Linked DNA regions of Nothobranchius furzeri. The protein of the gene in region 3 interacts with the protein of the main gene of each other region in a pairwise test. Links are inferred from orthologs where the notes say so. Each region holds a gene or a part of one and is shown on either strand. Other genes may lie near its edges.

What was found.
Region 1: the proteins of pias2 (region 3) and tsr2 interact in binary tests that used the Homo sapiens proteins (3 or more experiments, as listed by UniProt). The two-hybrid records come from large-scale screens. The link is inferred for Nothobranchius furzeri from reciprocal best matches to the Homo sapiens genes PIAS2 and TSR2.
Region 2: the proteins of pias2 (region 3) and nav2a interact in binary tests that used the Homo sapiens proteins (3 or more experiments, as listed by UniProt). The two-hybrid records come from large-scale screens. The link is inferred for Nothobranchius furzeri from reciprocal best matches to the Homo sapiens genes PIAS2 and NAV2.

Annotation. Positions count from the first base shown.
Region 1 is NC_091755.1:47,643,015-47,646,769, forward strand, and holds tsr2 (pre-rRNA-processing protein TSR2 homolog), read left to right. Parts: upstream 1-1,389; 5' UTR 1,390-1,407; coding exon 1,408-1,485; intron 1,486-2,312; coding exon 2,313-2,403; intron 2,404-2,529; coding exon 2,530-2,621; intron 2,622-2,697; coding exon 2,698-2,853; intron 2,854-3,296; coding exon 3,297-3,395; 3' UTR 3,396-3,676; downstream 3,677-3,755. UniProt on the Homo sapiens protein: May be involved in 20S pre-rRNA processing.
Region 2 is NC_091749.1:51,507,731-51,511,485, forward strand, and holds the start of nav2a (neuron navigator 2), read right to left. Parts: upstream 2,557-3,755; 5' UTR 2,353-2,556; coding exon 2,158-2,352; intron 1-2,157. UniProt on the Homo sapiens protein: Possesses 3' to 5' helicase activity and exonuclease activity. Involved in neuronal development, specifically in the development of different sensory organs.
Region 3 is NC_091757.1:21,012,013-21,015,134, forward strand, and holds the end of pias2 (E3 SUMO-protein ligase PIAS2), read left to right. Parts: intron 1-1,326; coding exon 1,327-1,530; 3' UTR 1,531-2,571; downstream 2,572-3,122. UniProt on the Homo sapiens protein: Functions as an E3-type small ubiquitin-like modifier (SUMO) ligase, stabilizing the interaction between UBE2I and the substrate, and as a SUMO-tethering factor.

The DNA.
Region 1 (3,755 bases), on a different chromosome or scaffold from region 3:
GGGCCGCCCCAAACCAAGCCCCCACCCCGTCTCACATGCGGTTATAGAGACAAGTCCGCGAGCAGCACACAAAACACCCCGTCCCTCCCCCACATTTGGCGGGATAGACGAGTCGCAAGCAGCAACCTCCCCTGTCGAGGGCCGATGGTTCATTAAAACCCCAGGGCCAAATTTTGGTCCCAGTCCACCCCTGTAGGCCTGCAGCTAAACCATAATCCCGGTATTACGGTTTTTAAGCTATGAGCCTCAGGAGGAGGACTGTGCCAGCTTTCCTCTATTGTAAAGAAGGCTTGTGTGGCTGACAAACAGCTGAAATGTTCTCCTCATATCTTCTAGAACAGCGGTTCCCAAACTAATTTGGCCATGCATTCCCCTATGTCCCGACCATGTCAATGCACCCCCCAGCCCCCACACCAGGGGGTCGTTCCCGCGTACAAACCAAAACGCCCCTTTTAGCGGCTGGCCGGATGATACACTATGGGAGGAGTTTCTGTGAACCGAATGATGTCATTTATGTATAAAATAATTATTAATAAGAATAAAATACTGATTAGAATTTAGGTGTGCTTATCTTTTTCTACAGTAGGCCTACCAAACTCAATCCACGAAGGGATTGTTTAAATGAATGTTAGCCTCTCCTTGAGAGACTTCCACATATTTAAAATTCTATCACAGAAAAGATTTTTAGTTGATTAATCTCTGTTGACATAAGTGACAGAAACTACATCAAATTTAAACTCAGCAGCCTTTGTAAACTGATTCTATACAAATTACTATTTGAAATTGATTTCAGAGCAGGTGAATTTATAGCCTAGTGAACTAGACCAACTTCTTGCTTTATGTTTATGTATTTAGCAGACGCTTTTGTCCAAAGCGACTTACAAGTGATAATCGGCATATTGCCCTTGAGGCTAACAACAACAATAACAACAACATTGACATCAATCATGGAGAGGAGGGAACAAGGAGTGGACAGTAGAGAGGGGGGACGGGTGCAGGCAAGGTGCTAGTTAAGAAGATGCTCTCTGAAGAGCAGGGTCTTCAGGAGTTTCTTGAAACTTTGCAAAGTTTGGTCTAGGAACGCTCCACTGGAACCTCTGCAGCCCCTAACAGCATTCTGGCTGGCCAATCACAGCCCTCTAGAGGGGTTTCAAACACATAAATAATACATTTATTTAGTCTGGCTTGCCAGGCTAGTGAGTTTATGGAAGATTAGGGGTATTATTATTTTTATTTACCACATTTTGTATTTAAACTTTTCATCAATTATTAATCAGAAAACCTCCGGCTCTCCTCTCCTGGACCTGCAGGCTTTACAGAACCAGCTCTAGTGCCCGGATCTGAACTCCGATCATGAGCTGTTGCTTTTGTCTGATTACCGATTTCATCGACCCGGTTACAACTAGCATGGCGACATCTAAGGCGTCACGTGAGCTACTTACAGACGGAATTCGGGCGGTTCTTCACACATGGCCGGTTTTACAGGTGAGCTTCGGAACCAGGTCCACCTGAGACGGACAGGTGGTTTCACAGAAATACAAACATGTGACGTTTAGACGGACAGAGACATGATCTGCGGAAGCTAACAGACCGATGCTAACAGGTTCACGTGTTTTTATTTAGGCTTTTATGGTTTTTGAAAAAAATCTTGGACTTCAGTGCAGATGTGATTCTGGTTCTGGTTCGTCCGAACTCCCTCTAGACGGACCGGTTTGATTTAAAGTTCTGACACGACTCGGTTAGGGTTAAGTTATGGATAACACACACTCAACACTGTAGCCACAGCTGCCCCGGGCATGCTACAGGAGCCACCGGTGCCTCCGGGCGGCCACCAATAGCAAGGCTTGCCCAAAGGCACAACTCACACTGATGGAGCCTGGGTACGAACACCCCTGTTACCCTGGCCTGGCCTGCCAGACTCGTGTTCTGTTTAAGAAAGCGTGGATCTGGCTGGTCAGGCTACTGTTACCCACCGGTTACAGGGCGAACTCCTACCCCACGAATTTGACATGTATTTATATTGTTTTGTGGTCTTAATTATATGTATAATCGCAGTAATTATATTTATTTAGAAGATATGCAGTAATTATCTTGAATCACTTTCTAGACAAAACTTCAGCAGCTGACCAGGGTTTGGCCCACATGGGTCAGCCACGCCCACCTGCAGATAATTGGTGGAGAGAACTGCTAGTCCAAATGCTCTATTTTAGTAACCAATCAGTGTTATCAGGAAACAGCCTGATGTGACAGCATCTTCTTCAGTGCCTGTGAAGTTCTGGTGGGTCCGAGACGTAAATGTGTGTGTTTGTCAGATTGCTGTGGACAACGGCTTCGGAGGCATCTACGGCCAGCAGAAGGCCGAGTGGATGGTGGATGTCATTCAGCAGTATTTCTACGACAACAGTAGGTAACCATAGAAACAGCAGACAGAACATCTGGTCAGGTGACCTTCAACCTTTTACTTTTGAAAAGCAGCAGCTCAATTCCTGTTTGTCCCTTATGCACGTGTGTGTGTGTGTGTGTGTGTAGCTGACCTGCAGCAGTATGAGGTTGAGGACTTCCTGTCTGAGCTGATGGATCAAGAGTTCAACACCATGGTGGAGGATGGGAGTTTGCCCCAGGTATGCGCACACTTGTGACATGTCATTCGGATGCTATCTCACCTGTAGTAACCAGGTACCTCCCGGTTGTGCACAGGTGTCGCTCCATCTGCTGCAGGTGTTTGGTCTGTGGCAGCAGGGGGCGCTGCAACAGCTTCAACAGAAGGTTACCACATTAACTCAAAACAGGTCGCAGAGGGCAAAGGTCACGGCTCCACCTACTGAGTCTGATGAGAGCACTGATGAAGCTCCGGTAAGCATCACCTGTGATTGGTTTAACTTTTATCTGGTCATGTGACCACATGGATCAGCGCTTCACTTTGTAAATGTAAACATGGCTGCAGAATCAGAGCAACACCGGGTCAGAACCTGTGGACAACCAAACATCTGTTTGCTCCAGATGTTCTTTAATTGATCATTGGATGGGATTAAAGTTGAATCAAAGATCCGACTGGTTCCAGCTGGATTTAGGATCTTACAGGTCTGGTTTGAAGGTCTGCTGGAACCAGTTGGACCCAGTTACCTCTGATTGGTTCTGAACCAGAGGTCACCTGCTGTTCAGATGAGTGGGAGACAATTCATACTCATAAATCTGTCATCCAGTGGAAACAAGAGATTTAAATATTTGTTGCATCACCATGTAAAGTTACAGGTTACCATGGCAACAGTCAAATAAAAAACGACCCGTGTGTGCAGGCAATGGAGTGTGACGAGTCCACCCCATCAGGCAGCTCAACCCCTCATCCCCCACAGGACACCGAGGACAGCTGGACGCTGGTCAGGAGGAAGAAGTGAGAACATGAAGAGCAGAACTGGAACCGTATTAACTGGACTTAATGGTTCCAGCTGCTCACATCTGCAGAAACTGCATGTTCAAGCATGAGCTGCTGTGTGAAGACAAGTCCATTCAGGAATCTGGTGGAGCTTGACCAGGGGTCGACTGGAGTCGGAGCATCATGGCCGATTCACACGGGTCAGGGTTAACCTAACCAAGGCTGATGGGTAAGGGTTAACCCTAACCAACCACAAATGTTTCAGCGTGTAGAAATAAACCTTTTGGAATCCTGATGTTTAAATGATCCGTTTTATTTGCTCTGATGTCATTTTCTCATTTCAAGTCAGAATTCTCACAAGTACAGGAAATGAAAGGCTGAA
Region 2 (3,755 bases), on a different chromosome or scaffold from region 3:
TGGCAGCAGAGCACTGCTAATGTATAGAGGTGTAGTGTAGAGTTCAGGGGAAGTTCTGCTGAGTGTTAAGATGAATGCTGCATGAATGTTTGTCCCTCCTGCTCTAATAAACGTTTTTATGGATAAAGTTACGTATTGCTTGCTTTACTAACTGCAAAACATAACAGTAAAAAAGTAGAATTTTTTTCTTTCTTTCCTTCATGAAGAGTGATTCATCATTAACCATTTAATTGTCGTTTTAGTTAATTTTGGAGCACATAAAAAAGGTTTGTATAGGCTTGTAGGACAGGTGCCGCAGTTTTGTTAGAGGTGCAACATTTTCTGATTATTAGAGATTAAGTTGTAACGCAAAAATTCTTTGGCCTCGAATTGGGGGTGCTCAGGCTCAAGCGTTAATATTTTTACATGTTTTTTTTTCTAATTAATTAATGGTAATTAACATGTCAAGTCCCCACCCCTAGTTTCACTTCCTCTAACAAAACATTTTAGAGGACCATTACAGCGAAAATGAGCCTCAAACCAAGAACATAAAGCCTATTAGTGCTAAAAAGACAACAAAGATGCTTTCCTGGTTGAGCAATGACTTAAAACTCAGCCCACTCCTAGTGAACACTGTTAAGGTCTGACATCTATTTGCGGCTTTTGTGCACGCTGACGTCCACCTCTCCACCAAAGATTGATTGTCTGGTTTTATGTAGGATGAAGTGAACTGGATGAAAATTCATAAAGCTGCAGTGGAAAATGTGTAGATACTAAATGTAACTTTTTTACCCAGTGAAAAGGAAGAAGGAACATTAATGTAGCTTCTTATGTGCAAATTCATAAAAGGAGTTTCAGCAGTGAGATACAGGACTGCAGGGGGCTGATTCTCCCAGGAACTGATTTTTAATCAACTTTTCAAGCCCAATAGCATTGGTTAACAAAGGCTAAATAAAACATTACCTTCCTGCAAAAAAAAAAAAAAACTGCAACATAATCCACATGACACTGATTTAATGTTTGTGCATGTGAGCACATTTTAATCCATATTATAGTGTCACTTCTCTGGGAACAGCTAAACGATTTGGGGCAAAGGCGTCTTTTCGTCCACTGACTAAAAGAGAATCAAATTATTCTTGAAAATGCTTCTTGTCTCGAAATGAAATAAGATAAATGCAAATGCACATCTGCAGAAACTCGCGTCTCATCTCTCACTGGAGATTGGGTTCATCTTCGGTATCAGTGAAGAGAAACTCTCCTGCAGCGATCTGCATGCAGAAACATTCAGTGTTCATCCCAGCGGTTATGGCTCAATGCTTCACCAGTTCAAGAAATCCCAGAGGCTAAGCTCAAACAAATAAGAACAACAAAAAGTTAAACATCAGCCAAATGCAGTGTAACATTATCATTTCTGATGCATTTCAGCAATATTCAGGTCACTGCCACTAGTGGAAAAGGTCAGAGGTTAACCAAGCTGAGGGTGAAGAGGTGTGCTTCATCAGCACCACATGGATAGAGGGAAGAAAAAAAAGGAGGACAGAGGGGAGAGAGAAAGTCGTGTAAAGTAGGTCAGGGAGAAAACGTGATTGGCCACAAAACACCACCACTAGCATCAAACCCGTGTCATGTCCAAAGACGCTGTCCTTTCCATATGTTTTCCTCAGACTGAGTCCAAATTTGTCTCCAAATGACGCTGTGTTGGATGCCTTGGTGCTGATAACAGTCACGTTTACTGGACGGGTTGGCAAGCATGCAACTTGCTGGCTCGCTCAGACCGACAAGCAGAGACAGCTTCTTCCCCTCACAGACTTACATGGTGTTAGAGCCACCCCTTGCCCCGCTGCAACGCTTTGCGAGGAGTTGCTAAGCACAGCCAATATTTCACAAACACAGCAAAAAAGGCAGCCTGACATCCTGCTGCCATCCTGGACAGCAGCAGCAAGACCGCTTCATTACTGACTTAAGATCTGCGCTACACTCAGCTGAGCCAAGAAGACCATATGATGATGCTGCAGATCGGTGTGGCGAGGACTGATGATGCATTTCTTTCTTCTTGAGTTTTATATCAGAAATTATTAATCAAAACTTCCAGCAGAAGGAAGAATAAGATTGTGACCTTAGATTGGTCAGCATGACAGGTGTGTGTGTGTGTGCGTATGTGTGTGTTCATTTCCTGACCTGAGGGTTTCCACCAGCCTCTGACTCCGGAGCCTTTCTTGGGGGTCTTGAGGGGATGTGGCTCTTGAGTGGTGCTGAAGGCAGGGCTAAAGCTGATGGTCTGCTGGGAGTCTGGGGGATGGGGAGGGCACTGTGCACGGGTTTGGGTTTGGGCAGTCCAGACTTCATCTTTGAGGCCACCAGGATGGCTGGCATCTTCTCCTCTCACTCCCTCACTACCAGCTTACGCTCGCTCCCTGTCACGCTCAGATGGAAATCCTGCAGACCGTCAGTAAGAATCCCCTCTTACTCGCCCAGGGTGTGGCCAAATCACTGTAGCAAACATCAGAACTGCTTGACGTGGGATGTGTGGTGCGATTTGTCAGTGTCCTGACCTTAGCTGCTCCAGCTGGATCTGAGCCGAAAAGGTAGCAAAGCGTGCCAACATGCAGTGCAGAGGTTTAAAACCCCCAGTTCCCACCTGCTTTACATCACCAACCAGCTTCAGCTTAGGTACAAAACATTCAAACGTCCAAGGTTGGTATAAAATTCCTCTAGACAAAAATGTCCCATAAATTCCAGCAAGCTCATTGAAATCCCAATGCCACACGAAGAGAAATTCCCATATGCCGGGTGGGAGTGGGGGGATACCTTCTGCTTACTCCCAGTTCAGAGTGAGAGTCAGCAATTAACCACGTCTCATAGCAAGCTGAGCCTTTCCTCTCCGATAAAGCCTCAGAAATTAAACCATCAGTTCTGGATGACAGGAGTGAAGACCTTGTTTTATCATGAAAAGCTGCGCAGAAACAGATGGAGATAAAAAAAAAGAAAAGGCAGAAACAACGCAGCGACCGTTCGCTCCAGCGACTGCTCAGCCTGTGACAGCGCAGCCTGAAACGCAGCACTCTCTACCCCGCTGCTGCCTCTCTCCCTCTCTGGTAAGTCGTGTTTAGCAGCAGGTGTGGCTTAGATCAGAATGACATATGTGGAGAAAGGCTCAGCACACACATCCGTGGAGTCGTTTTCCACACAGTCTCTCTTTTAAAACACCACGAAAGATATTTATTCTCATCACAAATTTAAAAATCCTATTTCACAAGATTAAAATTTTGTTCCCATGAGCAATAAGCAACATTATTATTTGGAATTATTTCATTTGCTCAAAGTTTAAGATCCTTTCTTATAAAAACTGATGCAGGCGGAATCATTTTCAAAGCTTGTGAAGTCCAGCAGAGACATTATATTGATGGATTCTCCCTTCTTGTCTTTATTCCATAGTCTTTTAAATATGAATGATGGCCAGTTAGTGGACCGCTGCTGGACTATTCCAAACCCCAGCGGGCTCTAAGAAGCTGCCGAAGTTGTCGACTTAAATCTTACTGCAGCGCCAAACAGAAAAGTGAGGAAATACAGCCTGCAATTCCACTCATCCCTCCACTCTCATGGATTTTAGAAAGTAAAGACAAAACATGTTTGGATCCACCTTTAATAAGAGCAAAAAGCTGAATCCAAAGTCAAAAGTGATTTCACATTGTTGTCTTCGGTGTGAATTTAGTGGAGTGTTGGCAGATACTGGATCAGAGGACAGTCAACATCCAACAGACCTTTTTTCACACGTG
Region 3 (3,122 bases):
GCTTCCTAAACTTATTTTGGCGTGGCTTTTTCTGTCTTATTACTCATAGCAACAAGTAAACATCACGTAAAACGTTGCCTCGTGAGTTCTGCGTGCTGCCGTTTACGTGTTTTATGATCACAGCAACTAACCGGCTAAGCTGTATTTAATTTTTAAGCAATGGTTGATCAATTGTCAGATCACACATAAAAAGCACTTTGGATTGCTATTATCTGTCTCACCGAGACAGATCTCAGACAGATCCTGAGACGCTCCTGCCTGACCTATTTATTTTATTCACGGAAAAAACAATCAAACTAGTGATTTCTCTTGGTGTTCAGTTTATACAAACTGCACCATCATATCTGTGTAACGTTCTAGCCCGATACGTTCCATCACGGCCACTTAGATCTACCACATTGGGCCTTTTGGAAGTTCTAAAGGTAAATCAGGTCACCATTACGTATACCAGATGTGTAATGTGCCTTGGTGTGAGCAGATCCAATGAATTTAAAAGTTTGATAATAGTTATATTTTCTAACATGAGTGACTGATACAGCTTGGCTGTGGGAATTTTGACATTTAAACTGACATTGGCATGTAAAATAGCAGCGTATGAACCAGTGTAGAGAATATCTTCTGCTTTAGTTGTGTTGCCTTGCAAGTACAGGAAAGCAGGTGGCTTTGTGAAAGAACAATAATATTGATGTAACGGTACAATATCATATCTGATTCTAAATGATCCCAATTTGGTAATAATATCGGTGTATCGACCAGACCTAGTTGTGATAACATGACTCGTATTGTAGCAGCTGAAAAAGTCTTGAAAACATTGTGGAAAATCATTTCAAGAAAAGAGTGGGAAGATGGGAGGGGATATGGCGAGCAGCCACAGTGGCAGTGAAGTGGAACTGTTTTATCTACAGGCGTACTGCAGGGGTCTCTAGTGTGCGGTATACAGCTTCTAATGTGGGACACGACCACTCTCTAAAGCTGAAGTTAGGGCCGGAAGTCATTCGGGCAGGATTTGGGGGTATTTCTTGGGGGTTTGTAACATGTGGGGACAGTGCATTGGCTGAGGGACAGGTTGAAATTTCAGGAGATCGCATCAGCCAGCTCATTAGCTTCAGCTTCACTTTTGAAGTAGAATTGCTGACATAAATGAACTTTTGCAACAGATTCTCATTCTTCACGTTTCAACTTTTGATGAAATCTGCTGTTACAAAACATAGAATTGTTAGAAACCTGCCAAAGGAAACAGCGTCATGTTTATAATGACGCACCCACAGCTGTCCCTCACCTGGTGGGTTGGGTTAAGACTAAAGCTGATGGTGTGTCTGTCCTCAGCATTACCGGCCTCAGATGTTTCTGGACAACCTGACAGGCAGGATGCAGAGTGCTGCTACAGCCAGCACCAGCTCAACTTCTCTCTCCTCCACCAGCCACTATGACGCTAGCAGACATGCTGCCGACTCCATCCACGAAGCTAGGGTCATCACTGGAGAACGGGTGACTGACGGCAGCATATCAGACATCATCTCCCTGGATTGAATCAGGGTGCTAAGCGTCACTGACCTTTTTGACGTGAACAGTTTTTTACGCAGGCATGTTCTTTTCTAATGTCTTTTTAAAATGTAAAGTTTTCTTTCTGTCCAGCCTGAAAAAGTAATGATCACTGTAACCTTTACGTTTTGTGCCAAATTAGATGTTTTATTTCAGCCATATCACATGGACAGGCCTCATATCTGGTACCAACAGGCATCCTGGACCTGTTACAGGTGGGAGTGCTCCCACAGACCATTAACACCCAGCTGTTACAGATGAGAGGACCAGTCACTGAGTCCACGTGACCTCATCAGCTGGATGTGTGCTTGTTCTCCTGGTTTTCAGGATGAAACGGTGTAAAAGCCATAGTTCAAACCAGGTTCAGAACCTGCCTACATCTATGCAAGAAAAATTGGCGTTAGTTGGGCTTTTTCATTAATGATTGAGCTCCAGGTTCTGCTGTGAGTCTGAGCTGTCTCAGACTGCTGGGGGTGGCAGCGTGTCCGTTCACATGGAGCTGAGATATGAGCCCAGATTCAGGATGCGTTGGTGCCAGATCAGAACAGGCCAAAGAGAGGTTAGGGTCACTGAGAAAACCGGCCTTCGGTGTTTCAGAAACACCAACTGGGTCAGATAGATCCCCAACATATAGAACCTGTGTGACATGGGAGACCTGCCCGGTGCATGCTGGGAGATCATGGCAGCATAAATCATGGTGAGTGGAACAAACCTTCCTACTGTGAATAAAGTCCATCTGCAGCTCATCTTTAACAAGTCTGAGAACGCATGCACCATGATTTCTGGATGTCAGGTGACAAAACACGTCTGCCTCTCAGCTTGTCGCAGTTCTGTCCTCTGACATGCCCATGCCTTGTCATACTGTCATGTTTTTATTTTGGTGTCTGCTGAGCTCAGAGGCTGGCCTGGAGCACCCGACTCTAAACTTCCTACATCAGGACTTCCTCCTAACTTGTGTTAGATTTTCTGGATTTGTAAGCTTTGCTTTGTGACATCATTTTTTTAAATAAACTTTTTCTACAGAAAAGAGTTGATCATTCAAGTGAGCTTATTCATATAGCACCAAATCACAACAAGGTCATCCCAGTGGACCAGTACAGGTCAGGGGTCTCATTTATAAAACATGACGTACATACGCCATGTACGTCACCTCGTCCCGTTCCCTCAGGTCCTCCTCCATTCATCTCTCTGTGCCCTCCTTCTGTCTCAGCACCATGGGGAGTAGAGCCTTCAGCTGCACCGCTCCCAAACTCTGGAACTCCCTTCAGCCTCTCATCAAGAACATTAACTCATTCACAGAATTCAAAAAAACAACTCAAAACTCACCTCTTCATAACCACATATCAATCTTGAATTTTAGAGTGCCTTGTTTGCTGATGTTTACGTATGTTTACTTTGTTTTATTGAATGATTTGTGTTTTTATTCTGTACAGTGTCCTTGAGTGACCAGAAAGGCGCTTTTTAAATAAAATTTATTATTATTATTAAGTAGGTTTGTGACCTATAAAACATGGGGTACGCACAGCTTCACGCAATCGCCCCTTTATAAATCACTCTACCTGGAAAGGTTCTCAGGTGTT